Astyanax mexicanus: one gene and its partners. The protein of the gene in region 3 purifies or fractionates together with the protein of the main gene of each other region. This does not show direct contact. Links are inferred from orthologs where the notes say so. Each region holds a gene or a part of one and is shown on either strand. Other genes may lie near its edges. The genes, in order: suds3, arid4b, sin3b and gatad1.

Region 1 (7,917 bases), on a different chromosome or scaffold from region 3:
TGACTAAAAACAAGGGATACACTGAATATTTATCAACTGAAATTATTATAAACTAAATCATATTAATCCCTAACAGAGAGTTAGGGTTATATTCCCACTGTGTATATAATTTTGGAGTGAAAAAATAAATATTCAGCACACATAATCTGCATCTCGTAGATATGTCATGTAAAAAAGTAAAGTATTGGGATATTAAGTAAATTGTAATTAATTAAACTTGCCTCACATTACACTATGGCGTTTAGCACAAGCCAACACCAACGTTAATGCAAGCCCAGTATTAAAAGGATCAGTGTAAACAAGGGGCGTGTCCAGCAACAGCTTATTTGCATAGAAATGTCAGAGCTCTTAAACGGCTCATTCTAAAAGGGGCTGAAACTGGTAAGAATAGATCTGTGAGATCTTTATCTTTATGTTAGAATGATTTTGTGTAAAGAACTTTATGAACATGTTTTGTAAAGAACATAGACCTACTAAAATAAAATAAAAAACTGGTATAATATCCACTTTAAATGTGTTAGATACACAGTAAGTTTTTTATATTTATTTATCTTGTCAATTCATCATTTAGCGCAAATAAATTACCCTTATATTACCCAGCCCTAGATAAAATGTGATTGTTGAAATCCAGACTAGCTCAGCATATAATAAAATTAACTGTATATATGACAAGTGTGTATACTCACTGTTCCTTAATTTCCACATAATCGTCTTCATCGTGTTTCGCCAAATCTGTTTCACTGGCGTCTTCAGTGTCTGAAACAAAGTTTAACATATTAGAACAATTACAAATAAATAACTAAACATGTTAAGCACTTATATTTTGTTTGCATGTATTGTTTCTCAATGACATTTTAGTTTTTTTTAAAAGTACTAAAAAGAAAACAAATTTACTCTGTGAAGTATTTAGATACTCTTATCTGGGGAGCTGTTTGTTAACTTGTGGTTTCTGAGGCTGGAAACTCTGATAAACTCATCCTGTACAACAGAGGAAACTCTCGCTCTTCTATCCTTTCCTGAGCTGGTCCTGATGATTGCCAGTTCCATCATTATAACGTTTTTGATGGTCTTTTTCGCGACTGCACTTAAAAATTGACTGACCTTCATTTTTTCTTAAAGTAATGTTTTCTTCTCTTAGTTGAGTAGTTGTTTCTTCGCATAATCTGGATTAGAACATTACTCAAATATTCACTATTCACTGTATACCTGTAACTCTACCTCTTCACTACTTTACTTTAACTGATGCTCTCAAACTTTACATTAAGAGACAAGAAATTCAAGTAATTAACTCTTGATGAGTTCAGCACAGCTGTTAACTGAAAGCCAGAATTCCAGGAGACTCTACCTCATAAAACTGACTGAGAAAATCCAGCAGAGATGTTCAAAACGTGTCATGTAAAATATAAAACATATTCTGGTTTGTTTAACACTTTTTTTGTTTACTAAATAATTCTATTTCTTTTTCTTCATAGTTTGGATGAGTTTAGTATTAATCTACAATGCAGAACTTTTAAAATAATGAAAAAAAAAATTTAAGGTGTGTATAATTGCTGCATGTATCTAACCTAACTAACTAATTATCTAGGTTAGATAAATAACAGATTATATAGATAGTAAATTAGTTAGCTAACCCATTCAATTATCAAGAATAAAGTATAATTTATGTATTCTATGATATATTTATATAAGGGATATTTTATATTGACAAAAACAGCTACGATTTACAGATTTTAACGTAATTTAACACATTTTAACGTATCTAACACCAGCTAGCGTCCCCAGTTAGTTAGATAACTAATAGCTAAATAGCTAGGTTAGGTTATTAAAGCCGTGTTTGGTAGTTAGCTGTGTGGCTAACATATATCTGACTAACTTAAACCGTGTAGTAGCTAGTAAGTGTTAGCTAGCTAAGCTAACTAGCGTTAGCTAACTTCAACATTTTCGTCGTAGCAATAACATGTCTTGCTTTTAACAGACAAATAACTATTAAATTTATATTTAATTCTGCCTTTCTATATAGGCAAATGTTCTTTCTTCGTTATCTAACTTAAACATATAACGTCTTAATTCGTTTTTAGCTATATTAAATAAAGCTAACAAGCTAACAACATAGCGTTATCTTGCTAACTAGCAAACAAGCTAGCTAAAGGAATGCCAAAACAAAGCGTGTAATTCTGTCTTATGTGCTCTATTTTATATTTTCCAGTCTGATATAATTTAATTTGAATGTTTAACAATAAGTCTAAATGCACGTTAACGTTGTTTGTGGTGAAATTCGTCTTTTAAAACTTGTTTATAAACATAAAATTGATGATAGCTTTAAAAGCTAATCGCTAGGCTAACGTTAAGCTAAAGCTAAGCTAACGCTAAGCTAGTAAGGGGTTCAAAAAATAAAATAAGTCCTCTCAAATTAAACACAAGGAATTCATTTACCAGAATATAAAAGCTCTAGTGTATCAATACTTGTATATAAGGCTTTTTAAACGAAGTTAAATATTTAATTCATATAAGAAAATGTAAAATTAGCTATAAAATAAATATAACTAAAGTGATAAACTGAATATTATTTTTTTTCTCTTAACAAAATAAAAGTCCCGCAGCCCAGCTCTCACAGCCTGCAGACAGCAGCGGAACAGAGCCAGACTCAGACACCGCGCTGATTATAATTCACTTTATACAGTTTAACACTTAAACTAAGCAGATTTTAACAGAAAATACAGTTTTATTTAATGTTAAATCTGTATATTTATATGTAAATATGGGTCTGTATACCTTCCTCCGAGTCTCTCCCTCTGAAACTCCGATCTTCCTCCTCATCCATACTGTCCAGCTCCTCTTCATCATTATAATAATCCACCACAGGAGAGAGCAGCGTGGCCATGCTGCTGCACAAACTCACTAAATATAAATATAAATATACAGATAAACAGAATAAACACAGAATCTGTTCAGACCCGCGATTATTTTCTTCCTCTCCGCGTCCAAAAGCGTGTAGCTGGAAGGCGGGGAAATCTGATTGGCCTACATGCGCCTATGAGCATTATGGGAAATGTAGTTTGACGTGTGCAAAAAAATACAACAACAATTATTTAAAATATAATTTAAAAATGCGTTGGAAGAACATATACTGTACATTTACTCGCTGAGAATATAGGAAAAAAAATTTAAATACGTTTTACATGCATTTGTTACATAAACCGCATTCTAAATGGGTTTGTCTTTAAAACATAAACAAAAATACCTTTATTTACTATCAGTGCAGAATATTTAGAGAAATATTTATTATTATTATTATTATTATTATTATTATTATTATTATTATTATTATTATTATTATTAATAATAATAATAATAATAATAATAATAATAATAATAGTAATAATAGTAATAATAATAATAAAAGAAATCCGCCTATGAGGATTATGGGAAATGTATTTTGACGTGTGAAATAAAAAAACAACAACAATTATCAAAAAAAAAAAGTATTTAAAATGTGTTGGATGAACATGCAATGTGTGTTGCCTTTTGTATTACAAAAGCAAAAAATTAAAATATATATTTAGAGAAATATTTAATTAAAAAAAATAAATTCACCTATGATGATTAAGGGAAATGTAGTTTGTCGTGTGCAAAACAAAACACAACAAAAAAAATGTGTTGGATGAACATGTACTGTATTTTTACACACTGTGATTATGAGCCAAATACATTTTTACACGCATTTGATACATAAACTGAATTCTAAATGGGTTTGTTTTTAAAACAGAAACTATAACAAACAATGTAGTTTCTTTATTAAGATTACAGTTGTTCTTATTTAATAAGTTATAATATTACAATTAATGATAATATTAGTAATAAGAAGAAGATCATTATTTACAATTTACATTATTTATATTATTATCAGTGCAGAAATGGCAGAAATTGACATTTCTGTTCCAAAAGCAAAATAACAAATATATTTAGAGGAAGATTTAATAAAAAATAAAGAAATCTGACTATGAGGATTATGGGAAATGTAGTTTGATGTGTGCAAAAAAAAAACCATTCCAAATCAGTAACAATCAATCAGGAATCAAACCCAAATTCTGCAGGTTTAAAAATAAAGACATTAAAACAAGACGAACAAAACGAAACTAAAGGTTTGGAAACATTAACTGTTTTTTTTGTTTTTTTGTTTTTTCGAAAAATACTGATTTTACAATGAAGTTCAGGAAAGAGCCAATTTTATTATTTCATTCATTATATTTTTACGTTGCAGATTTACTTACTTTTTGTTTTTTAAATATTTTCTGTTACAATTACATTTATAATTTGATTCATTTTACTTATTAAACATGAAAAGTTTTTATGTAATGCTTAAATAGAAATCTTCAAGACATAGGTGTGTATTATCAGGCAGATAATTGACAAAAATCTGAGCCTGTTAACTCAAGTCAAGTAGTTTTATTGTCAATATTGCATATGTCCAGAGCATACAGAGGGTTGGAATTACGTTAAGAAAACAAGTACTGGAAGAAACAAATTCCATAATTAAATTTCCTTAATCTGTGTTAATTAATCTGAGCAGTCTGGACTTTTTCACATTACATCAGATTATAATCCCGTCCTCATAATTATGTCATCATTTCTCTCTGTGTATAACTGTGTGTGTGTTTTGTTATTGTAGCGGCTGCAGTTCCTCTCTCGGCCGGCAGGTGGCGGCGTTTCCTCGGTTCAGAGCCCGGTCTGCGTGTCTGCGCGTGAGTGCGGGATGATCACCTGCAGCAGGTTAAATTTTAAAGCGTGTAACTGAAGCTCGGCTCGGTTCTGCTCCGCTCCGCAGCGGCTCGGCGGCGACCCCGGGACCAGGACACCGAGGGCCGGCAGGGCTCCGCGCTGCTGCCGGTTAGAGGAGGCGGATCTCCGCGCTCAGCTGTCAGACGCTCAGCGTGTGTTTTTACGTTTTTACGCGTTTAATCCAACGACGTTATTTGTGATGACGACTTTTTTCACGGTTTACGCGTTTTTTTGTGCGCGTTGTGCGCGCGCTGCCAGCTCCTGGGCTTTCAGAGGGATTTTAGAGTGTTAGTCTCTGATGCTTCTGCTGTGTTTTTTATATCGTGTGAACGTGAAAGACAAGGTTTTGTGCGCGTTGTTTTCGGGGGACGCGTTTTCTCCCTGCGCTGAGAGACTTTATCTGGATGGAGTTGCGCTTTACTGCGCGGACAAAGGATACGATATCTCTGACAGGTAAGAGAAAATCTACGTTATGTCGTGATGTCACGCGAGTTTGCGATGTTTTCGCTGATGGCGTGTCGGTGGCGCGCGCTGTCGTGCGAGAATTCGCAGTGTTTTTCGCTTTACTATCAATCGTTACGCTTTTACGCTTTTTACTATCAGCGTCATGTTTGATGTTTGAGTGGATCTGCGATCGATTAGCTGCTCTGGAAACCAGCACGAACTCGCCTTAGGTGTTGTGCCGAAATGCATTACCGGGCGATATGTGCTTTTTGGCTGTAGTGCCCATGCGCATGCATATGTTTTCACGTTATGTTTTTGTGAAAAACGTAAAATACAGCTATATAGCTATATAGCTATTGTTGTGTCTTGTTTCCAATATTTAATAGATTGATTAATTGATTGATTTATTGCGGGTGTTAATGTATTAAAGACAGTTTATCATTATTAATTATAATAATAATTATCATTATTATTACATTAATTAATTTCAAACTAATCTAACATATAATACCTTTAGTATAACGATACCCTGATCTAGCACACAGCATGATTTATAGATATACATTGCTTTTCCTAAGTGTTTTACCTTTTTTAAATAGCCTAGATAAACAGAAGTGCTATATAAGTACTGCATTGTACTTAAATGTAAACTTTTTATAATTGTAAAGTATAGTATTGGTCTTTACGGGGTCAGTTTTGTTTTCCTCTGAAGTACAAAGTCTTCCCTATAACAACAGGAAGTAAAGATTTATACCATTTAACCATCCAAAAACTACATTCATTATTCTGTATCACTGTACTAATAAACAATATATATATTATTTCTACATTTTTCATTTGAAAGAAAAACCTCGAATTATGCAAAGAAAACAAGTTCATATTCATAAAGTTTTAAGAGTTCAGAAATAATCAATATTTGGTGGAATAACCCTGGTTTTTAATCACAGTTTTTATTTCATGCATCTTGGCATCATGTTCTCCTCCACCAGTCTTACACACTGCTTTTGGATAACTTTATGCCGCTTTACTCCTGGTGCAAAAAAAAAAATATTATTTCATCCGAATGAGTAGACTTTTCTTAGAAGTAGAAGTATCTTGTTTATACCAGTTTGGAGTAGGAGTAGCAGGTTTTGGCAGGGTAGCACAATTGGACGGCACACCGGACGTCACGTTTCACTTTTCAGGACATTTAGGACATTTTTTTTCGCGTCTTCTGGATCATGCCCAAGCCTGGTTATAAGGTTTGCGCACTTTTTAAAGTTTTATTTAGTCGATAAATTTATAATATGATATTAAACAGGCGGTTTTCTTTAATATGTTGCAGTTTTATTGGCGCGCGCTACAACTGAAGAAACTAAGTAACCAGCAGCTGTAATGTTATTTCCGTGTGCGCGGAAATAAGCAGAAGAGGAAAGAAGCTGAAAAACGCGCTAAATCAGCGCAAACTCGGGAGTTTTGCAGCTTTTCTGCTGGAGAAGAAGATCAGGAAGGAGTGGAGAAGATCTGGATTATTCTAAGATCTAAACTCGAGCAGAAGGACAGCAGGTCAGTGTTTACTGAACTTTGTGCTGCGCGGAAATTAACGCATTTAGAGCTGTGTGTATAAATATATATACAGAGTTAGAGTTGTTTATTGGGTGAAAAAGCACTAAAATAGAGCTAATATCCGAGTTATTTCACTTATTCCACTTATTTCGGTTATTTAAGGTGATTGAGAGCAGGTGTGCACGCTCGTGCACAAGCACCTGTCCGTGTTCTGGCGCGCGGGAGGTTACCGGTGTTGCGTCGAGTCGTGCTGCCCGTCGATTTACGCTTCCTAAAGACACTCTGCACATGCGCTGACCTACATTTAAAATAACAATAATAATACATATATATATATATACAGCAAAAAAAGAGAGCACTTAAAAAAGGCAGAACAAGCTGCACTAGTTATAAAGTTAATTAAAAGCAATATGTAAGACTGGTGGAGGAGAACATGATGCCAAGATGCATGAAAAAACTGTGATTAAAAACTATTATTGGATTATTCCACCAAATATTGATTATTTCTGAACTCTTAAAACTTTATGAATATGAACTTGTTTTCTTTGCATTATTTGAGGTCTGAAAGCTCTGCATCTTTTTTGTTATTTCAGTCATTTCTCATTTTCTGTAAATAAATGCTCTAAATGAGAATATTTTTATTTGTAATTTGGGAGAAATGTTGTCTGTAGTTTATAGAATAAAACAACAATGTTCATTTTACTCAAATATAAACCTATAAATAGTAAAATCAGAGAAATTGATTTTTTTTTATTATGGTAATTCTGTACTTCTGTCTTTCTGTGCAATAAACATCAAAAACTCTTACTCATTACACAGAAATGTTTAAATAGAAATAAAACAAACAAATATACAAAGAGGCAACAAACTATTTTTTACTTATTACAAATTTCCGTACAATAACCTATTTATTTGTTTATTTATTTATTTATTTACTTACTTACATAGTTATCTATTTATCTTTTAATATTATGTTACACTGCACATCTATGTCCAATACAATGAGGTGTTTATACAAGCGGGTTATAATTATATATATGTATATATATTTAAATACGTATATTTGGCTGTTTATGTTCATACTATATTCTTACATTATTTGTTGCTTTGTTAGAACATTTTTGTTCGATTAATTCTCATCTTTGGTTC
Region 2 (7,794 bases), on a different chromosome or scaffold from region 3:
ATGACACTGGATCATTGACTTCTGTTACAAATCTGATAAAACTTCTGTTATTTTGTAATATCTCTTTTAGGGGTGTGCCATATCATATCGTATGCAATAATAAAATTAAAATTTAATTCGGTAGCAATAGTCTATTCTTTTATTAATATATTTTTTAAAATTCAATGTAGTGTGTTATCGTGAAAATACCTTAAAATATTGTGATATTAATTTAGGGTGATATCTACCAACTCTACTACAACAACAAATGTTTTGTTTGTTTGTTTGTTGAGGTGGATTAATGTGCTATTTTCCTGCAAATTGCAATTACTTTGAAACCAATAAAACATAGGTTAGTTGACCTAGCTAAAGTGTAAGCTAACTAGCTTAACAAACTTAACACAGAATTAACTGAAAAACAGGCCAAACTGAAGCTTTCCAATATTTAAATCTGACTTTATTTCTTATACTTCTATTTCCTATAGTTAATATTTTAGTGCTTATATCACTGGTGCTTATTCTCTTTGGTGTGGTAGCTAGCTACCAACACATTTTTTTGGTTTGTTTGGTGAGATTGATTAATTGGCTTTTTTTCTGTAAATTGCAATTGCTATTATTTGAAGCAAATTAAACATTACATAACAAAAAGGAAAACAGCTTCCCAAAACACTTGTTATTTAACTAGCTAACTACAGTTTCCCACAGGCTGTGTCTGTTTCCAGCACAACAACAACAGTCACCTCAGCCAATAACCGTCGAGTTCAGTCTCGGTTTAGAAAACGATAATAAAGAGAGAAAGATAGTCCAGATATAGAGCAACAGAGCAACATCAGTCGACCACTGCCTGGACTAATCTTATCGTCGCTGTTAGAGTTAGGTTAGCTGGGTTATCTGGATGCGAAAGCTTTCTAATAAGAGCTGAGCGGATCGGAGCCCGCCAGCCATTTCTGCTCTTTCTGAGAGAGACTGCTGCTGTTCAGACTGGAGCAGAAGTAGTTAGCTAGAGGTTAGGGCAGCTAAATATCGAACTGTCTGGAAATACAGGCGAAACAAAACGTTTAAACTACATTAGAACAGTAGATTAGCTAAACTAGCGACCAATGATTCGATTAATGAAAGTGGTGATAGGTGTATAGCGAGTCTTTCTTTATTTTTTAGCTAGATTAACTCTCTCTCGCTAATTAACCAGAAGATAGGAGAGAGTTCATCCTCAGTACCACCAGCTAACCTAACGCTGCTGTTACCAGCAATTTCCATGTATTCTGACCACTGGTAAACACAGAAAACAGGCTTTTAAAACCGCGATGCGCCGCACAAAGCCTTACATAAGGGTCTGTCCAGCGAGGGAGGCACTCACTGCTTTCCCCGATCAGTTAGCTATAGGTTATTTGATGCCGAGCAGCAGCAGTGTTGTTGTTCTTCTTCTTCAGGGTTGGAACAACGTTTACTAGCTAATTTTAGGAATTGTAGGTTAGCTAGTTACTAAATTAACTGGCATTAATAAGACTAGCACATATATAACGTTATATATCTACCACAAGTTCCAATATCCTGGTCTTAAATAAACATAAGGAGACGTTGACACAGAATGTAATAAGTTAACCTAACAGCTAACGTTATGTTAGCTGGGTTAGGTCTTAAAAAGTGGCCCAAATCTGATGTTCTTCATCATAATGCTAAGTTACCCAGCTGGTATTCAACGTTGAATCAACGTTGTATTTGGTGTTGATTTCGAAAAGTAAATCAACGCTTATATGGCGACGTTAACTTGTTTCAACGTTTACGTTCAACCTTTTATAAATCGTAGTTAACTAAAAGTAGAAACTCCTATGGTTAACAGAGTGTTAACCACAAACTTAACTTACATCACTGTAGGAAAGCTGAGTATAAAGAATGTTACCCACCACCACTACCAATCTGATTCAACATCTGATCTCAAAAACACTAAAAGAGTAAAACTAATAGAACATGAACATTCCCCCAGGTATGGTGAAGAATTTGTGCCAAATTAAAAAAGCAGTTACTGCAAATGGAAATAAAACCACTTTTGCATCCCTCTTGTATGGCGACGAACTGTAAAATGCTGATTCAATAGGCAGAAGGTTGAGGACATTATGTTGATTCAACATTCAACTATTTAACATTAAATGTGGTTTCAACGTTGAAACAACAACAGACATTACTTCAATCATATGTCAACCACATTTAAACGTTGAAGGTCGGTTGTGGTGCCAGCTGGGTAGTTGGCGTTAAGTGACACAGATGTGCTATCTAGGTGAACAGCAACAACTCCCTGAATATGACGGAATGATACCCTCTTCCCACTCACTTTTAAAGTTATTATTATTACGTGGTATTGAAATCCGATACATATCTGGCAATGGCAATCGCATCAGTTTAGATCACTATTAGGCTGGAAGTGTGAACTGTTCTAATGAATGTCGGATATAACCTAGCGTTAGGTCACAAAGAAAAGAAATATCTGCTTTTTTGTGACACTTTACTCGCTGTGTAAATGCGACCAAAGAGGCACGAAGTACTATTCTATGCACTATTTCGATGCTGTTTACCTGGCAACCCCCCACTCGCCTCGCAGTCCGACCAGCACGCAAGGTTAGCAAGCCCTCCTCCGTCCGATCGAGCAGTCAAGTCTAACGTTATTAACTAGCTATAGCTTTAGCTACGTGTACGATCTGTAATCTGGATATCTTGATGTAGTTAATCTTAATCAGCGCATAGTTAACTAGGTTAAATCGGACAGCATTTCCACCAACAGCTTCAGGAAAAAGAAAAGACTGTTTTTAATCTAATATGGATGCTCGCGGTAGCATAACGTTAACCCGTGATTTTTTTGCCGAACAATCCGCTAAAAGACTCGCTCTTACCTTGCGAATGCGATTAAACAAGTTTCCCTCTGCCGTTATGCGTTAATCCATTGGAAAACATGCAACAATCCTCGACGATTATCGTCCAAAGGTTGCCCGCAAACCCGGGGTCCGTGTCGGGAAGCGAATCCGACGAAATGTCTCACCAGTCGGGCTCTTTTCTCTGTAGCGATCGCCTACCCTTCTGTCATTGACTGACAGGTACACAAACCCGCCCCCTGCCGCTGTCGCCATCTCTCATTGGTTTAAATCTGTGTCCGTGCCCGCCTCTTCGATTTGATTGGGAAACGCGTCCTCTAAAAAACGGCATTTGTTTATCGCCAAGAAAAAAAAGCCAGCGGGTTGATGGGAATTGTAGTTTTTTTGAGACCCATTCGCGCTCTCCACGCCGCACATTTTTACTGACTACACGAGCTACGTAAATCAAATGGACTACATTTCCCACAAGTCTCGAACGCGATGGAAAAAAAAAAACGGGCGTCTGTCTCCGCCCACTCCAACGCGCTCGCGCTCTCCGGGTGCCATGGTGTATTTATACCCCGCGGAGAGCGAGGAGGATTCACAGCCACGGAGTGTCGAGCGCGCGCAGCCCTGCGCTCTCCCGGTAAAGCGCGGATTCCGCGGATATTGATATGGCCGATCACCGTGAAGAGGACACCGGTAGTGACTGTGATCAGGAGATCCGTGACTCGTGATTAACCGAGGAAAACGGATCCGTCACGGGCTAACCTGCTAACTAACGTTAGCTCGAAGAGGGGACAAAAAAATCGATAGCGGAAATACCCGGATTACTCATCCCCGGTCTGGAAGGTGGGTGGCGCACGTGCTCACATTATTAGCTACTGTCATTACCGCCAGTAAACCGGAACACGAAAAAAAATATATATATATAACGTTATATATGATTTTGCCAAATTAAAAACATCTGGAATATAATCAGGAAGATGATCACAAGCCGTCAAACCAAGCGGAACCAGGAGTGGCATAAAGTTATCAAAAGCAGCGTGTAAGACTGGTGGAGGAGAACATGATGCCAAGATGCATGAAAATTGTGATTAAGATATGATATGAAGATTTGTGTGAAACTGAAATAAAAATGGGTGATTTTCAGTTTTTTTAATTATCAAAATATATATTCAAAAAGAGCTTGTTTAATTTTGTGCCAAATAGTAAAAACAATCCTAGACCCTTTTGTAACCTAATATCTACGTTCACATGAGCCATCAACAACCAGGGTACAGTGTGTTTAAAAAAAAATACAGAAAAAAACAGAGGGTCTTCAAAATAGGCTGAACATGGCATTTTATGGCCATTTTGAAAAGTGGTTAATAGTTCTGAGACTGCATGAAAACTAAACTTGAACCATTTCTGTTCAGAAAGTAAAAACAAAACTGAAACCATGTACACTTCAAGCTAACTGAAATGGCATGCATTCATATTTCAGAATGATAACAAACCTGTATTGGGCAGCTCACCAAATTCATGAATAAATAATTATAGAGTTATAGAGATTGTGCTCTCTCTGTAAATGTAACAAGGCTTAGTGTCCTAAAATGTTTGTTTTTCATTGTGTGAAAAGCAGCAGGGTGGTGAAGTCTGGGTTTTGAGTGGTTTAAACAGTTTGCTGTTCATTTCTCTGTTGCAGGGTTTGGTGATCTGTGCGGGCAGAGGGGGATGGATGGTCTGGAGGGAGCAGCGACCGAGCGGATCCTGCTGGAGCCGTACAATTACTTACTGCAGCTACCAGGTCAGAACCTCCAGAACCTACACCATCACTGGGTTTAGTTATAGTGCATTAATAAATTGTTTATTAGCTCCCACTGTTTTGTTTGAATAAAAAGTAAACTTAAATGTTCTTAATATATTGTGATGTATTTTGAAGCATAACCTAATTTGGTTATTAAATCAGTTGTTCATGCAGTACTATATGACACTCACACACTTTAAAAATGAATTAAAATAGTATGGATGAATCTTTAAAAGATACAGCTAGACTTTAGAGAGCTTCAACCTGTTTATTTGTGTTGTGCTGTTTGTGTGCTCTCTGTGTTTGGCATGTTTATATGCGTTAAATGCAAAGTATCAGAAACACATCTATCAGCACACATTTATTTATTTATAAATTCATGTATTTTATGTCTTTCGGAGATATTTCGGTCTGGGCCTTTTTGGTATTAAATTTCCATACCCAGCCCTGGTTCTGTTGCTGTCTGAGTCCAGGTTAGCCCCGGTTGGTGATGCCGCAGTGTTTGAGGTGCTTGGGGTGACGAGCTCTTTACTGTGAGTAAGTGATGTGCGACGGCGCCTCCAGAGAGAACAGGCCATCAGTCAGACAGGAAGTCAGCACAGTGCCCTCGGAGCGGTGCGGGCATGCCGCTATTATTAGCAGAGCTGTGCTGCCTCAGGCTTTTGTGTTCCTCGAGTGTTGGTGTGGAATTGGTGTGTAGAGCGAGGCGGTGGTTCTGTTCTGGTTATGATCACTGTTGGTGTTCAGTTCAGATGAATGACTGAACTTTGATCTGTGATCTGACAGATCAGGTGTTTGAGTGTGGGCTCTGGAAATTTGGGTTTAGAGTTTCAGATGATGGCGTGTTTGATAAAGTACAGATCACTATACAGTCTTCATTTTTGTTTATGGGGAAAAGGCACATAAAGTAGGGGTGGAAATCTTAAGGCACTTTATGATTCTATTGGATTAAATTGGATTATGATTCAGAGTCTATGATGGCAAATGTAAAACAATTATAGAGCATTATTTTGATAATGCATTTCTTATATCTTCTTCTATATAGGATTTTAGTATATAGGATTAAGTATCTGTAATGATTCCCATTGTTTAATGGGCTTAAAAGGAAATTTAACACTGTTTCTATTTGCTTTAAAAAAAAAGCATAGTTACTTTTTAATTAAATGATTAATACAAAAATCCACAATTAATATTTTAATGCTTTTTAAGTGTGAATATTTAGAATGTGTTGAGTTATTGAGTTTTAACTGGGAAAAATAATGAAGCAAGTAAAGTAAATAAAGTGTAGCTGTATATTCTAATCTACCTTAGAAAAAGGAAGTGAGATAGAGATAGAGAAAGAAAGAGAGAGAGTGAAGAGACACAGCATCACTTTCTACAGTTTGGAGAAAAAAATGAAGTGGATGAATATAGAGGACGGCTCGAGTACTTTGTTGGATTAGCAACATTTAGAGCATGAAGGAAATGTGTACCATGTCTATACTGTACAAGTGTACTAGGAGATAAAATGTGTGCCTGTTACGCTAAATGTGTAGCTACATGTTGGGAGGTCTGAGTTGATTTTTGACGTTTGTGAGGAGGCCGTTCGGTGGGATGACCTTAACTGAGGTCAGCACAAAATCTCAAGCCTGAGATGTGACTCTGTGCCACAGAGGGAGTACAGACTTACAGCCAGGGTACAGGAAGTGCTTCTCACCCACCCTTCTGCTGCAAAACTACTATATTACTAACAGACTGTTCTTTTATTTAAAAGCTCTGCTTTGATCTTGGGTGATACCTCAGCCTGTCCACTGCTGAGTCGGATGGCTCTCCCCATCCCATATTGCTCAGTGCAATATCAAAAATATCAATATATTAAAGTACCACAGTTTTATATTGTGTATACTGTATCGTTTGTAAAAACAATAGATTATTCTGAATGGATAAAAATGAAATATGATTGTGTGTTTTATACATGTTACTAGGGGTGGGCGATATGGCCCTAAAATAATATCACAATATTTCATGTTTTTTTTTTTTTTTTTTTCCCGCGGTAACAATACTCTTGGGGATATGACAACACTGAATTAAAATATAAAAAATTAAAAATATTTCAAGACTATACTACTGCAACAAAATGAAAATTAAATTGGTTTCTTTAATACGATATAATATGGCACGCCCCTAACTGAGATTTTAAAAAATACAAGAATTTTATCAGATTTGTGACAGTGAAAGTCAATGATCCAGAAAGTCATGATAATAATAGTAATAATGCACTCCAAATATCTCCATATTTCCCGGATTAAAGCAAAATAAATGATACTGGACAGATATAATCTGTCTCTAGTAGATAAATAATGGGAAATGAGAACAGTGCGAATTTTTCTTTTGTTAAAAACAGTAAAAAGTAATACCCTGGTGTGATAATGAGGGGTGGGTATTGCAGATATTATTACGTACGATATGATATGGCACAGCCCTACTAGTTACAGTGGTCAGTATGTTTAAAAAAAAAAAAAAAAAAAAAAAAAAAATTGATTTTTTTTCTCTTCTCTTTCTGTTTGATCAGGAAAACAAGTACGGACTAAACTGTCTCAGGCTTTTAACCACTGGCTCAACGTCCCCGAGGATAAACTGCAGGTAAGCACTTGTATTTTTTGGAAATCTCTTCAGAAATGTACATGTTATTGTAGACATTTTGAAATGAGAATGATGAGACTGTACTATTTTTAGGACATTTTTACAAAGATTGTGTGACTTTTTTTTTTTGGACACAAAAGTCAGGTTGTTGTTTAGTTTAGTGTAATTTATTTCACTTATTTACAATTTAAAGTCTTTTGCACAAAAGTTTGGGGTCTTTATTAAGGCAATTTTATTTATTTATTTATTTTTTAAGAAAAATTAACATTTTCTAAAATAAGATTCTGCTTTATGTTAATTGCATATACAATTTTGTCTTTACTTAATTGAAGCTTCGTATTGCATTAGACAGAAAAGCAAAATATTATAAAAGTGCGTCAGGCCGAAAATGGACAATATTTGATTGTTTAAAACAGATTGGATTGTGACTTGCCTAAATAAAATGGTAAAGATTAACCCTGTGCTGGGGGGGAGGCTCTGGGATAATGCAACAAATTTACAGGCCGACCCGAACCCGGTCTGACCTTATCTGTCTGTTTATCTCCGTTTACCTCATCATTC
Region 3 (7,110 bases):
TAGAAATGCCATAAAAGATCATGAGACAAAATCATACCCTACTAGCCCACAACCCTGTCATTAGTAACCTGGTGCCCACCTGGTGTAATTTGTGTGAAATTCTATATTTCTATTTGTATGTATTGTTTTCTGCTACTGTGAGGGACCTGGAACCTACATTTTACATGTTAATTAATACTCTGGGTAAAATAAGAGATAAAATAAGCCAATGAAACACAGTTAGCATCTATCCAGAAGCGCAAAGTAGTATACATATACATACAAGTTTGAAAGTGTTGTGCAATTGAGTAGATAAGGTAGAATAAACATTATGCAGATATGGAGAAAAAGTGTTTACAATGTATTTAATGAAAAATACATTTAGGTCAGTGTTATCCTCGGTATACTTATTATAACATGTTTTAATACAATAAAAAATGTATTATGATTCAATAAGATAAATTGTCATATTAATCAGCTCTACACAGAAAAGTAAAAAGATATGGACAGAGAAACAGTAAATCTTTAATCATATTGATATTTCATGTGGTAAAACCCATCTGCCAGACAGCTGATATACAGCTCTGAGAAGAAAATAAGAGACAACATATAAATAACGAGTTTCTTTGATTTTACCAAATTGAAAACCTCTGGAATAAAATCAAGAGGAAGATCACAAGCAATCAAATCAAGTTGAATTACTTGAATTTTTGTACCAGGAGTGGCAAAAGATTATCCAAAATCAGTGTGTAAGACTGATGGAGAACGTGCCAAGATGCATGAAAATTGTGATTAAAAACCAGGGTTATTCCACCAAATATTGATTTCTGAACTCATAAAACTTTCAGAATATGAACTTGTTTTCTTTGCACAATTTGAGGTCTAAAAGGCTCTGCACCTTTTTTTTCAGCCATTTCTCATTATCTGCAAGTAAATGCTCTAAATAATAATATTTGTGGGAGAAATGTTGTCAATAGTTTGTAGAATAAAACAACAATGGTCATTTTACTCAAACATATACCTATAAGTAGCAAAATCAGAGAAACATATTCAGAAACTAAAGTGGTCTCCTATTTTTTCCAGAGCTCTATAGACATATAAAAAAGATCAAAACCATAAGGTGCTTGCTTTGTTTGTATGTGTGTATGTATGTATGTATGTATACGTTTGTTTACTTGTTTGCAGCAGCTACAGCATTTATGCCTAACCTAACCAAAATAAGGGTAAATTGACATTAGAGAATAATAATTCAGCTCACAGCTCAACACCCTGAAAATTATGATGGAAAACAATACCACCGGTTCTAGCACCAAAGAACCTTTCTTATACAAGACAGCTTTTTCAGTTCTCATGTTGAGTTGAAAAGTTAAATGCACCAAAATATGGTGTATTGTGTTTGTACAAGGTGCTTCAAGCTAGGTTCAAGTTTCTTGTTAATTTCCTTGCAGCAGCTTTTTTATATTAGCACCATATATAAACTGTGGCACAAAATAGTCCTAATTTTAACATATCTCGGTTAGTCTAAACTAACGTTAAACAAGAATAAATCAGCTCACAAATCAAACACCCTGAGAAATCTGATGGATATATCAGGAAAACAATACCACCAGTTCTGGCACTGAAGAACCTTCATACGAGATAAACCCTTTCAGCTTCTTCAGTTCTCAGGGTCTCCAGCAACTTTATAACTCAAGTGTCAATTAAAACAAATCGTTACAGTGAATTTTGCATTAAATTCAACAGAATTTGGTTTTATTGTGCTTTTAGCAAGGCGCATCCCCACAAAAGCACTGCAACTCAGCAAGTGGCTAACCGGCTAACTCAACTGAGAAGGATCTGGAAGCTCTTTTTAAATGAGATTAAACTGTATTTAAGTTAAAGTAAAGGTTTTTCGGAAAGTCTTTTGGGTTTATAAGTGCTGTTTTTTGTTTTGGAAGCTGCCAAAGCAAACAGCATTAGCTTTGGGAAAGTAAGACAAAGAGAGGCAAGCTAATAAGAGGTTGCTAACCTAGGTTAGCTTTGCTAGCTAGGTTCGTTAGCGATAGCTATGCTATGCTAACGTTACAGCACTTAGATTACCCAGCTAAAAACATATACTATAACGAGGGGGTCGTTTTATATGGTACGAAATATAGCTACATTTTTTAATAGCTATGTTCAAAACTGGTCAATAGATTATATGTGTATATTATATACGCCTTAAGCAAATACGAATAAAAAAAGAAAGAAAAAAATCTAAAAGAAGCTGAAGTTGCGAGTTTGTACGTTCCACCTTAAATGTTGCCGCAGTTTTATTCTGGCGCCCCCCGGACGCCAGAATGTAACTGCTACTACACTTAAGGTGGAACGGGAAAAATCGCACAAGAAACTGAAGAATGGGCAAGAACTTCAGAGAAAGAAATAACACAGCACTACTCAAAACTGGTCGCGCCACTTTATATCGACTTACACTTACTTTCATTTACCCCCGTTTTTCCTTACCTTTAGTTTCTGGAAGTGCTGCTGCTGTTGTTGCTGCTGCTGCTGTTTCTGGGCGCTCAAAAAGGCCTTGTCCTGGTTTATTGGGTTGATCTGCTTGGTGCTGCTGTGAGCCTGGATTTTCGCCATCGTCCCCAACAGCTACACACACGAAGACACACGTTCTCCCTCCGTATCTGCCCACAAAACAAGCAGGGCAGGGGAAAAAAACAAGCAGGGAAGGGAAGCGCTCCAGACAGCGGAGCGCCCACGCCGCTCAGACCGCGCAGAGTGCCTCCAACCCCGGCCAGCAGCGGCAGAGCGGACCGCTGTGCTCAAACTGAAGAGAGGAACCACTACAGCGTTTAAAGCACGGCTTTACTAACCAGAAAAGGTCCAGAGAAAGCGGGGGAGAGCTGAAGAACTAAAAAAGCATAGAAGAGAAAGACTACTCCCGGATTTTCAGTTTGTAAATGTTATTTTTAAAAACTGTCTCCTGTCTCTTTAAATTCGGCGGCAGCGGAGCGAATGTGGAAGAACGCACCGAGCATGCGCCTACACGGTGGGGCGGGGCTTACAGACGTGCGGGGCGGGCGGTACCCGGATGAGTGAAGGTGTCGTTTCAAATGCTAATGCTATCCTCTCAGAAGTGTCAATAAATATTAGTGATCAATACACACTACAAAACACCACAGACTAATCAATAAAGTGTTTATGGCTGATATAACAGTGATGTATGACGGTTTATTAGTGACTAATATAAGCATATACATTGTCTTTGTGTGAAAGTGGAAAGGGAAATGGGTGGTCAAAATGTAAAAAGTTAACTGTTGCCATACATGGTGTATTCAAGTAGTGTTATTATCAGAATACTGTGCATTTTGCCCTTCAAAAACGTCTTTTTTTACTATTAGAAAACCTCATACTACACAGAAATCATATTTTCCAGCTTAATCACTTTAATTTTAGGATTATTATCTGAATATTTGACCTTAAAACTTTTCAAAAAGTTACTTTACATTTTTTATTCTTTTAACTAGGAGGAATCTTGTAGTCACGTTAGGGGTGGGCGATATGGCCCAAAAATACTACGATCACAATATTTCATACTCTTGGCGATATGACAAAACACTAAATAAAAAAAGAATATTTCAAGAATACATTACTGCAACAAAATAAAAATTAAATTTTGTTATTGCATACAGTATGATATGGCACATCCCTAACTGAGATATTAAAAATTACAGAAATTTATCAGATTTGTAACAGAAGTCAATAATAATCCAGAATGTCATGATACTAATAATGCACTCCAAATATATCCATATATGCAGCATTAAAGTACAATAAATGATACTGGACAGATATAATCTGTCTCTAGTAGAAATATAATGGCAAATGAGAACAGTGTGAATTTGTCTTTTGCTAAAAACAGCAGTAAAAAAGTGATTATTAGGGGTGGGTGATATTGCACGATATTTCAGGGTATAATATCATTCATGATATTCAAAAATGTTGGCACTATTAATGCTTACAATACTATATGGCACAACCAACATATTCTGTGAAGCATTTAGGCTGCATTCTGAGGCTAGTAACATTGATGAAATTATCCTGTGCTGTGCAACAGAGGTAACTTTTGCTCTGCCCTTCCTGGTGTGGTCCTGATGAGAGTCAGTTTCATCATAACGTTTTTGATTGTCTTTGCGACTGCACTTGAGGATACCTTTAAAGTTCTTGAAATATTTCAGATTGATTAATCCTAAAATAGTTCTCTTTACTTCCATAACATGGATTTGAACTTTACTCAAATAGCGGCTATTCACCGTATACCATACCATCTCTACCTCTTTAAATTTCGCAACTGATATCAAACATTTTAAAAGGGCAAGAAATTCAAGACATTAACTCTTGACAGGTTAAGCACAGCTGTTAACTCAAAGCCATACCAGGTTTGGCCATACCATAGTTTGGATGACTTTACTATTAATCTACAATGCAGAGCATTTTAAAATAATGAAAAAACACTGAATTTAAAATATGTCCTAACTTTTAACTGGCACTGTAAATAATTCCTTATTTAAAAGACATTTTTTATTTTTCCTTTTTAATTATTCATATAGTTGAGATGGCTGAGGTCCTTCACATTCTCCCTCACCTTAGTCCAGCACCCCTTGCTGTAGATGGTCTGCAGGTCAAGAAACTCAATCCAAGTGAACATATCATCCTCTGTAAAGGTCTGTGCTGGGTACTCGGTGCTGTTCCTAAACCAAGCTGTGATGTTCCCTGTGAGAATACAGGTGTAGAGGGGCAGAAGCAGCTCCAAATGCCTAGAAATACAGCTAGCTCAAGGCTGTCTTATTAAAAAACAACAGCCAAGAATGTATCTGTTCAACATATTTTATAAACATATACACTATATTTAAAGTATGTAGCATATATTTAAATATATAGCTCTCTGCATATCTTCAGTTGCAATGCAAAATGTACTTAAGAAGGTGCAATTGGTGGTTCAAATGGTGAGCGACCGGTGGTTGAGGTTGCGTTACTAGTGGTTCCACCTAGTGTAAAGCCTTTCCAGATAACTTGTGTCTTCTGGTGGCTGATCAGGTGATACAATTGGTAGTTAAGGTGGTGTAATTGTTTGTTTCAGTTGGTGCGATTGGTGGTACAGGTGGGGCGATTGGTGGTTCAGGTGATGCGATTGTTGGTTCAGATGGTGCGACTGGTAGTTTAGGTGGTGTAACTGGTGGTTCAGGTGGTATGAATGTTGGTCCAGGTGAAGGGTTAAATAAAGAGGCAGACACATAATGCAGGATTTAAAAATAAGCGTGGTTTATAAAACCAAGTAATGACAGGATCACCAAAGTGTGTACAGAAATACAAATGATACCATCAGAACAACCATCATAGAAGAGAATAGTACACCCAACATTTACAAACTACTCCGCAAAGAGGGAACTGTAAGACGTTTTTCTCTGTTTATCTTTTCAAACACAGAACCACTATAGTTTATCTAATTTCTACTTTAGATTTCTCTTAGGACTCAAAAGTACAGTCGTCTATTTACTACAAACATCGTCACAGTCGGAAATTTAAGAAAAGGTACAACATCGAGAAGATAGAAAAAGATGCAGAGATACAGTATCGAGCACTTCAACATTATCATGGGTTTAGCAGGCAGATAAACCGACACATAACTCCGATTCCTCCGGAACGATAAAAAACAGCGTCATGTCAGGATACAGGGATTATTGGGGGATTGTTGAAGGTATTTAAAAAATTTCATGTACAAAAAAATCACCCTCCGCTGGGAAGGTTAACTTCATCACTGAACTCGACACGGCACTGAATGGATGTTGGTCTAATATTCACCAACTCTAATTCTCATTGGCTGTTGATCGCCCAAACCAACATGTGACGTACCACAATATACTGTAGCCCAAATATTTTAATGTATTTATTTTGTAAAAATATTTGATATTTTATGCATTTGCTTACAGGGGAATTTGAGTAACTAGTAAATGTATGTAATACTTCTCATTATAAGAGTGTTCAAAGTATTGCAACATAAATAATCCGATTTCTTTAATATTGTTTTGAATAATATTCAAACATCTTAATACAGCAATATCATAATGAATAATATCACAAGATTTTAAATGATTTTACTTGGTAAGCTATCATTATTAAAGTGTAGCAAATAATTATCTTAAAAAGGACATCAACTGGAAAGGACATTAGTGATATCTTAGTTCAGTCTCTTTAAATCTAGTGGTTATTTTTAGTATATCTATCTAACTATGAGACTGCATTATAATATTACATGTGACACAATGTACACATGGTGTGATACACATGTACACATGGTGTGATAAACATGTATGGGCATTTCAACTTGATTGATTTCAACACTCTGATAATGAAAATATGATTTAAAATTTAACTCTTTTATGAGATACTGGGGTGTATATATCAATACGTCAGGTGTTGGAGTGGGCGTGGCTAATGACGATGAAAAAGTCACAGGTGATCAGAAACACGTTCCACAGTCACAACATCATCGTCTTATTCTGATAAACAGCTCAACTACAGAACACAGAGATAGAGTGCAGGAGAGTGACCCACCAAATCCGACCCATTTATCTTTAATACTGCTCATCTAAAGCAAAATAAAAGTACCCCCCCCAACATGGACTTAAATAATAATAATTAGTACAATAAATTAAGCTTCATTCCTTTACACCAGATGAAAAATAAATTAAAGTATTTACAGTTAAACATCAAAGAAGCATGCAGGCGGGACCAGTGGAGACGCAACATAGCGGGCTTGTGCTCACAGCCCAAATGGGCCTGGGATCAAAGGTCAACTCCAATCAGAGAGAGGAACACAAAGCAGGGGCTCAGAGAAGTGTGTGTGAGTGTATGTATATATATATATATATATATATATATATATATATATATATATATATATATATATATATATATATGTGTGTGTGTGTGTGTGTGTGTGTGTGTGCGTGCACAAAATATTATTAAATATTTTCAACATTTTAAAGCTGCCAATATGTGAACAACCAATGGACATTTAGCCCAGCAGGTGTCTTTTGATGTTTGCTGTTGTTTTTATTAATTTCTATTTAATTAATTTTATTGGAGGAAAGTTTTGAC
Region 4 (7,069 bases), on a different chromosome or scaffold from region 3:
TCAAACTTTCTGACCTCACCAATGCTCTTGTGCATAAATGCAATCAAATTTTTACAGTACATAAAGTTACAGGTGTCCCAATACTTTTTTTCCACAAAAATGATAACCTTACTATTAACAGATCATTCACTGATCTCAGACACATTATATTTTATTCATATTTTTTATTATTTTTGTTAACAAACATATGTCCATTACAATATTTACAAATTATTGTTTTCATCAAGATAGTCTGCACAGAGATACTGTTCCAACTGTTTAATACTTCAATTAAGTATCAAGTCTTCTGTCCCCAGAGACAACAGGGTTCCACTCTCTACTGTCATTTTACAGTACCAAGCAACTGGACATCTGCTTTGTTGTATAGCAGAGTAGAGTTGTTAGCATTCGTTTCTGGCAGTGGTGTGGAAATTCACACTCAATTCACGATGATCGTAAAAATGTCCATCATTTTGCCTGGTTGCGAATCGTTGATTAATCTTTTCTTCTATTCCGTATTTGAATATTGGTCTCAGGTTACAAGGCTGAACAAAACAGTTAACTGCAGCTAACTGTTTCCTTGACTGTAACAGCAGGTGTAGGTCCAATATGGGTCCATATGTAGCCTTTCTCTGGGCGAATGGGTATTGTTGGAAAAGGACAACTCCTTGACTTAAAGTATTCTGATGGAGCATGGCAGACAAATTCAAGATACTCCATTTTCCTTGGTAAGTCCTCTTCTGGACCTGAGAAGGTAAATACTTGCTTAGTCATGTTTAAAATGCTACAAAAAGAATCAATTGCTAAAATGAGAATACAACATTAACTTACCAACAATGTAAGAGCCTGGATCAAACTGATCTCTTGGACTAGACTGAGTGGGGATTAGCCAGGTTAGTGCGGCACTCTTTTCACAGTACTGGTCCTGAACAAACCCACGAATCTGTGCAAAATACGGTTTACCGTCCTCTTCATCTGTTACCTTTATTACATCTCCTATTTGATAATAAACACCCTGGAGAAAAGGGAAGAAAGTGAATTGGGGAAAAACTGTCGCTTCTGAAATTCCATTTAAAAGTCGATTAGAAAGTCAAACCTTGTAGAAGATTGACTCTGACGTAATAATTGTGGATACAGACTCTGGAGCTTTGATAGGCTGAGGGAGGGAAAAAAAATATATTACTCACTCTGCTTTACTTAAGCATAATATATGAAGTTCATGGATAGAACTTACATTCTTTAGTTTAAAAATGTGCCGCCTTCCTTTTCCCTTAGTTGAGACTTTCTTCTCAGATGCAGGTGCCTTGTACTTAGTACTTCTCAGTCGTGCTGATCTTCTGTGGATCTCTTGCTTAGACTAGAAGGAAACAGAATCAACATGTTAGTGCTGTTATAAAGTACAAATTCTCTGATTATATGCATTTGAGATGTTCAGAAAGTGATTTAAATGTTATTTACCTATAAATGTAATTCTGTACTATTTTTTCACACATTACTCGGGTAAATCTTTTGAAAAAACATCGACTGAGCAAATGGAGAAGTTTAAATGGTTGATACACAGAGGGGAGTATCCACATAAAAATGTTGATGCACAAAATTACATTCCACTATACAATTTTTTTACTTTTAATTGTTTGTGTGCAGTTTGAAACTCTTATATTTAAACTGAATAAAACATATGTTTTGCTGCAGTACAAATTCTTAAAACGTATTTTTAAAAATATTACATATTTATAATATTTTGTCATATTGTCTCAAAAATACAGTGAAATATTGTGATATTATTTTGGGGGCCATAACAATATACTAGTGCATCTCAAAAAAAAAGCATTTTAAGCATTTGTTTCTTTTATTGTTGATGATTATGGCTTACGTGAAAGTCTTGCTTGATTGTAGAAACTTTACACTAGACCTCAAGCAGCTTGGACTGTATCTCTCCACTCTTCCTCCAGACTCTGGTCCCTTAATTTCTAAATTAAATGCAAAATTTACTGCTGATCAATGATGGTTTGGAGAGCCGTGTCATCTGCTGGAGTTGGTGCACTGTTCGTCCACTGGTGTTATATCCAGTCCAAAGTCAGTGCAGTGTTTTCACAGAAAATCTTACAGCACTTCATGCTTCCCTCTGGTGACAACTTTTATGGAGAGGCGGTTTTCATTTTTCAGCAGGACTTGGCACACTGCCAAGTCTTATATAATATTATACATAAAGAGACACTGATTTTTGAGTTTTCACTGGTTGTAAGCCATAAACATCAACAATGAAATAAATAACTGCTTAAAGTAGAACACTGTGTGAGTAATACATCTATATAACATAAGTTTTTAACTGAATTACTAAAGTAAAGTAACTTTTAAATGATATTCTTACTATTTTGAATCGAATGATTTACATGCATTTGCAAGAGCCAATTGACAGTGTAGATTTTTGGAACAAGTAACTTACGCTTATTGGCTCAGGCTGCTTTTAGAAGCACTTTAGAAATCTGTAGCCATTTGCGAGAAATACTGCTGCTAGCTAACCTAGGTTAGAAACATAGAAATCAATAAAAACAGAAGTGTAATGAAACCTGTTTTCCTCCGCCATTATTCTGCTGAGTGGTGGAAGAGACGGAGAGCCCGGGTCCTCCAGCAACACTGCTTTTAGAAGTGCAGTTATTACACAGGATTTCTCCCTGGTTTCCTTTTTTCCACATAGAAGAGGAGTTGGTTTTGCAGACCGCGCAGCTCGGCTTCACTCCCAGCGGCATCTTCCCTCTGTACCCGCCTAGCTAACGTTAACCTACTGCTCTCAGGTCTCACCGCCGCACAGTACGTATTAAAGATAGATATAGCTAGTTAACGCTAGCTGTTTGCTCCTCAGCGCAATTAAACGCTGCTAAATAATACACAAAACACTCCCAGTCTGTAGACTTTATTCCTAAATTAATAGAAAATGTCTAAACCCTGCAAATAATAATTTTAGTAACAATGAACTGCAACAACAAACCCTGTCCTCCATTATCTACAGAATAAAAGCCCCCCTTGTCCTCAAACTGAGCTACCTCTTCCGGCCGAGTTCAACGGCGTCTTCAAAATAAAAGCCCCTTTACTAACTCAATGCAGACCTGGGCATTAGATTATCTGCCCCTTTGCGTTTCTATTTTTTAAAGAATTTATTTAGAAAAAAAAAGTTTAGATTTTTTTTACAATTACAAAAAACACAACAACATTACCTACAAAATATTATAACAGTAACAATTTTACATTTTTAAAATTCACAAAGTCCAATCTTTTGGCTTTGTTTTTTTGTCCTAAGTCCCTCTTCTCTTCCGTTCTCTCATACTTTGATTAAAAACAATATTACTTGATTCAAAAGTTTGATCTATTGTCATTCTAGTCTGTTCTAGTTTTCCATAACTGATATTTTTCTATACATATGATTAACCAAAATTATTTTTTCTTCTTGTTTTCAACAATCCGTATATCCAGCCCTTTACAAATCCACCTCAGAAACTGAACGGAAAATATAGCAAGAATATTTTGAATTTATTGTTGTTCTTTTACTAAAACACTTTTAGTGTTTCACTTTCATAATTAAATAATTATATAATATACTTTTTTTTACTATGCCTTTACATTTTTATCGCCTAAGTGTAAGATCTTATTAGTAATGTGTTATGAAAACCATATAATTACTGGATTTTTAAAAAGAGATAAAATGAACATTGAGCAAAATAGAGATCAATCAGTAGGCCCAGCCCTACAAAATAGTCCCTTGGTTACAAAAGTGGCCCCTTGGTTAAATTAATTGCCCACCCCTAGTCTATTGTAACAAAAAGTAAACACAATTTAAAATTCCTGTCGGTGTCATAGTGGTAAATATGCAAAATCCAGGCTAACCATCATTAGCTTAAAGGGAAACTAAACCCCCTGATTTTTGCTGACTCCACCCTCCGCTCAAATTTAAAAAAGGCTAAAACATGGGAATGACAGTTTGGGAGGGGCACTGGGTGATGTATGGGTTTTAGGGGTGGGGCAAGAAGAGAGAGCTGATTGGGCTGAGCAGTGTGCTTCTGATAGTGGTGAGACCCAGATGGTTGAATGTCAGCAGGGGGGGGCGGTATTTTTGATTGCGTACCAAAGTACACGTACACATCATCCTCGTACATATCAACTCCCGAGCTTTCAGTCATCTAATAAATGCAAACTTTAAAAAAATTTAAGCACTTTTCCCTATCCTGTTAAAGTGTTTCAAGCCATCACCAAGCCTTAAGTCAATAATTGTGCAATCAAAGCACTAGTGCCAAGTTTTGAAACACTATTTGATTCATTTTTATTATTTTCTATTAATAAAGGTTGATATGCTAGAAAACTGAAGGTCAGGTCAAGTTAATAGGTAAATTGTAATTAAATAGTGATGCTTGTGGTTTATAGGCCCACACTGAACCTGAGATTAGCCTTATGGTATCTTACTTCTCAACACCCATGGTTTTATACCTAAAAGAGACTTTTAAATGGTGAAGTGAGCACCACACCACATCAGGAAAAGTTTGCTTCCTGTCTTCCAAACAAACATTTTGTTTTTACTTTGAAAAAATTGTACTTTGTAGTTAATAATGTCCATGTGGTGGTCTGTTCAGAACAATCAAATCACATGGACTACTTCCATGTACAGGAACAGCTTGAATGAGGTCTGAATCATGAAAATGAAGGAAAACACTCATAACTCTTCCAGGCAAAATGTCTGTAATCTATTACAATTAATTCAACCCAGGGCACTGAAATTAATCACAGTAAAACACAACGTAATTTTTAAATGACAATTTAGTCAGACACACATTGCAACTCTGGTTTTCAATCCTCTCACTCCCCATTTCAGAGTATACATTCCAACTAACACAGGACTCAATCCAGTGTAAAAGAAATCTAAGCAATGATTTAACACATGGTTGGCCCATGGAAATACAAAATGTTCCCGCAAAATGCTTTGATTGTAAAAGTGAGTAACAAAAAATGCAGTCTCTTTTAATCACTTTTTTCATTAAGTGAATGAAATCTTCACTATAAGAGGTTAACTTAAATGTGGCAACACACAGACAATATAGGGGAAGGGCATAAAAGGCACACTGAATGATAGAACTGAATGAGCGTGTTTAGAGGAAAAGCAAACTTCAGTCTCCAAATCCCTACACCCAACCTTTCTTCTTGAGCTTTAGTGACCCCTGGTGACACGATTGGAAAAGGCTCCAGCTGTGCACCAGATATTACAGACTTTCTAGAATAATCCAATGCTTAATAATGTCAAGCAGTCAACCATTTCAACCAGGGGATGATGAGTTTGGGTATATACCCAGCTCATAGCAAAAGTAGGCACAATGTCATCACCGGGATGCCCTGAAGCACTGGTCAAGAAGTGGCTTCAAGTCATTTGAAGCAAACCTGTCTCTTTTAACAAAGTGCAACAGGTTTGTGTGCAAGTGCATGAAGCAAGCAAGCGAGACTGATGGTGGGGTCATGGGTCAGCCTGTGGACTGAGATCACTGCAGTACTTGATAAAGCAAACTGCATTTTTTAATTTTTAAAACTTCTTTTTAAATCTTTCAGTGTGCATTAGCACATTTTTCTCTTTTTGAAAAAGAAATAAATAAAAGAGTAGTATAACTCACTTTCTATTCACACAGGTAAATGGGTTTGTTTTTGTAACCTCATCTTTGTGGTTCCTCTACAGGTTAAACAAGAACCCAGAAAGAACCACATTTTTCATCATACGATTTAGAGCTTCTTAGCACTCTCCTTTTCACACACAAATATCATATTTCTGTTACACTATAAATCCACATGTTTGTGGACACCCCTTTTACTGAATGCATTTAGCTACTAGCTGACACAGATGTACAACTGCACACACACAGCTTGTCTAGTCCTCAATAGTAAAGTATTGCCAATAGGACCAATGAACATGAACCTACTGGCACTATGCCTAATTCCAGATGTGCCTGAAATAATCATACTCCATCCAATACTTTTGGAATAAGTTGTGGATAATGCAGAAAGCAATCAAATCCTCACAGCAATCTACAAACTCTAGTAGAAAGCAGGGTATATTATTTTCATTTACCCATGATTTCATAAGAAACAAAGGTGTCCCAAAACATTTGTACATATAGTGTATACACTTCTTTTTCCCCTGTGGTAGGGGTGGCAAACTAATGTCATGTCCAACGTGAACTCGGAATGATTTTAATCGAAACCTGACACTGCATTTTTTTCGTACTTTTTTTTTCCGTTTAGTACTGATGGTTATACGTGATTATTAATTATTATAGAGCATTAGGTCATTTTGTGAAATAGTGGCTGACTGACAAAATCAGCTCTACTTGCTGCCTCTTTTAGAGCTTTAGTATTATAACAGGTCCCAATAAAGCAGTTCATGAACAGTGATCAAACCCTGCAGGTCCAACAGTGCTCTAACTGTGCTAGCTAACATTTCTGAAGAACATCAGGTCCTATCTTAGTGAAGTGTCAGTAAAATTGAGATTCTGGTTGGTTTTGCTGTGAACTTGCTCTGTCCCTGTTTATGTCTATAGATCAGTGTCAATGTGTGATTTATGAAGACTGTTTTTAGCTGATCTAATGAATTACAATGAGATAATGTGATTTAATTTTTTTTCAGTATTGTTCCGGTTTAGAACTGTGTGCTGTATGTTTGCCACCCCTAGTTTAAAGGAATACTCCAGTGTTTTCAATCACCATCACATAATCACTTGTAGTGTATGGCCAATGACCATTAACTATGGACATATTAACCTATGGCTATAGGGAGCCCTCCTGTCAGTTTTTAGCTAACAGTTGAATCCAGTAAAGTGCAGCTGCTGAAAGAAATAGTAAAATATATTAATAATTGTGATCTGAAACAGCGTAAAATACATAAGTCACAGTTTAGTTTGAATTACTCACCCTTTTCACTTATTGTCCAAATACCAAAAGTGCAATATTCAGCTGAATATTGTTGACAAATATTTTTGGTTGCCAAATATTCTGTGCATCTTTAGAAGATACTGAACCTAATGTTATTCCTACTATTTGCATGTATTTTGAGGGGTTTTGG

Evidence for each region.
Region 1: the proteins of sin3b (region 3) and suds3 purify together in Homo sapiens (affinity purification with mass spectrometry; 3 studies listed by BioGRID and IntAct, counting the BioPlex papers as one, with this or other methods). This does not show direct contact. The link is inferred for Astyanax mexicanus from reciprocal best matches to the Homo sapiens genes SIN3B and SUDS3.
Region 2: the proteins of sin3b (region 3) and arid4b purify together in Homo sapiens (affinity purification with mass spectrometry; 3 studies listed by BioGRID and IntAct, with this or other methods). This does not show direct contact. The link is inferred for Astyanax mexicanus from reciprocal best matches to the Homo sapiens genes SIN3B and ARID4B.
Region 4: the proteins of sin3b (region 3) and gatad1 purify together in Homo sapiens (affinity purification with mass spectrometry; 5 studies listed by BioGRID and IntAct, with this or other methods). This does not show direct contact. The link is inferred for Astyanax mexicanus from reciprocal best matches to the Homo sapiens genes SIN3B and GATAD1.

What each region holds. Positions count from the first base shown.
Region 1 is NC_064429.1:38,430,974-38,438,890, reverse strand, and holds the start of suds3 (sin3 histone deacetylase corepressor complex component SDS3), read right to left. Parts: upstream 3,016-7,917; 5' UTR 2,882-3,015; coding exon 2,773-2,881; intron 757-2,772; coding exon 687-756; intron 1-686.
Region 2 is NC_064414.1:2,381,469-2,389,262, forward strand, and holds the start of arid4b (AT-rich interactive domain-containing protein 4B), read right to left. Parts: upstream 3,013-7,794; 5' UTR 2,865-3,012; intron 1-2,864. Other genes in the region: ggps1 (geranylgeranyl pyrophosphate synthase), read left to right, coding at 4,539-4,611, 7,163-7,233. UniProt on the Homo sapiens protein: Acts as a transcriptional repressor. May function in the assembly and/or enzymatic activity of the Sin3A corepressor complex or in mediating interactions between the complex and other regulatory complexes.
Region 3 is NC_064419.1:9,138,412-9,145,521, forward strand, and holds the start of sin3b (paired amphipathic helix protein Sin3b), read right to left. Parts: upstream 3,011-7,110; 5' UTR 2,587-3,010; coding exon 2,461-2,586; intron 1-2,460.
Region 4 is NC_064410.1:50,880,609-50,887,677, reverse strand, and holds the start of gatad1 (GATA zinc finger domain-containing protein 1), read right to left. Parts: upstream 3,008-7,069; 5' UTR 2,730-3,007; coding exon 2,550-2,729; intron 1,337-2,549; coding exon 1,214-1,336; intron 1,136-1,213; coding exon 1,076-1,135; intron 995-1,075; coding exon 811-994; intron 726-810; coding exon 538-725; 3' UTR 1-537. UniProt on the Homo sapiens protein: Component of some chromatin complex recruited to chromatin sites methylated 'Lys-4' of histone H3 (H3K4me), with a preference for trimethylated form (H3K4me3).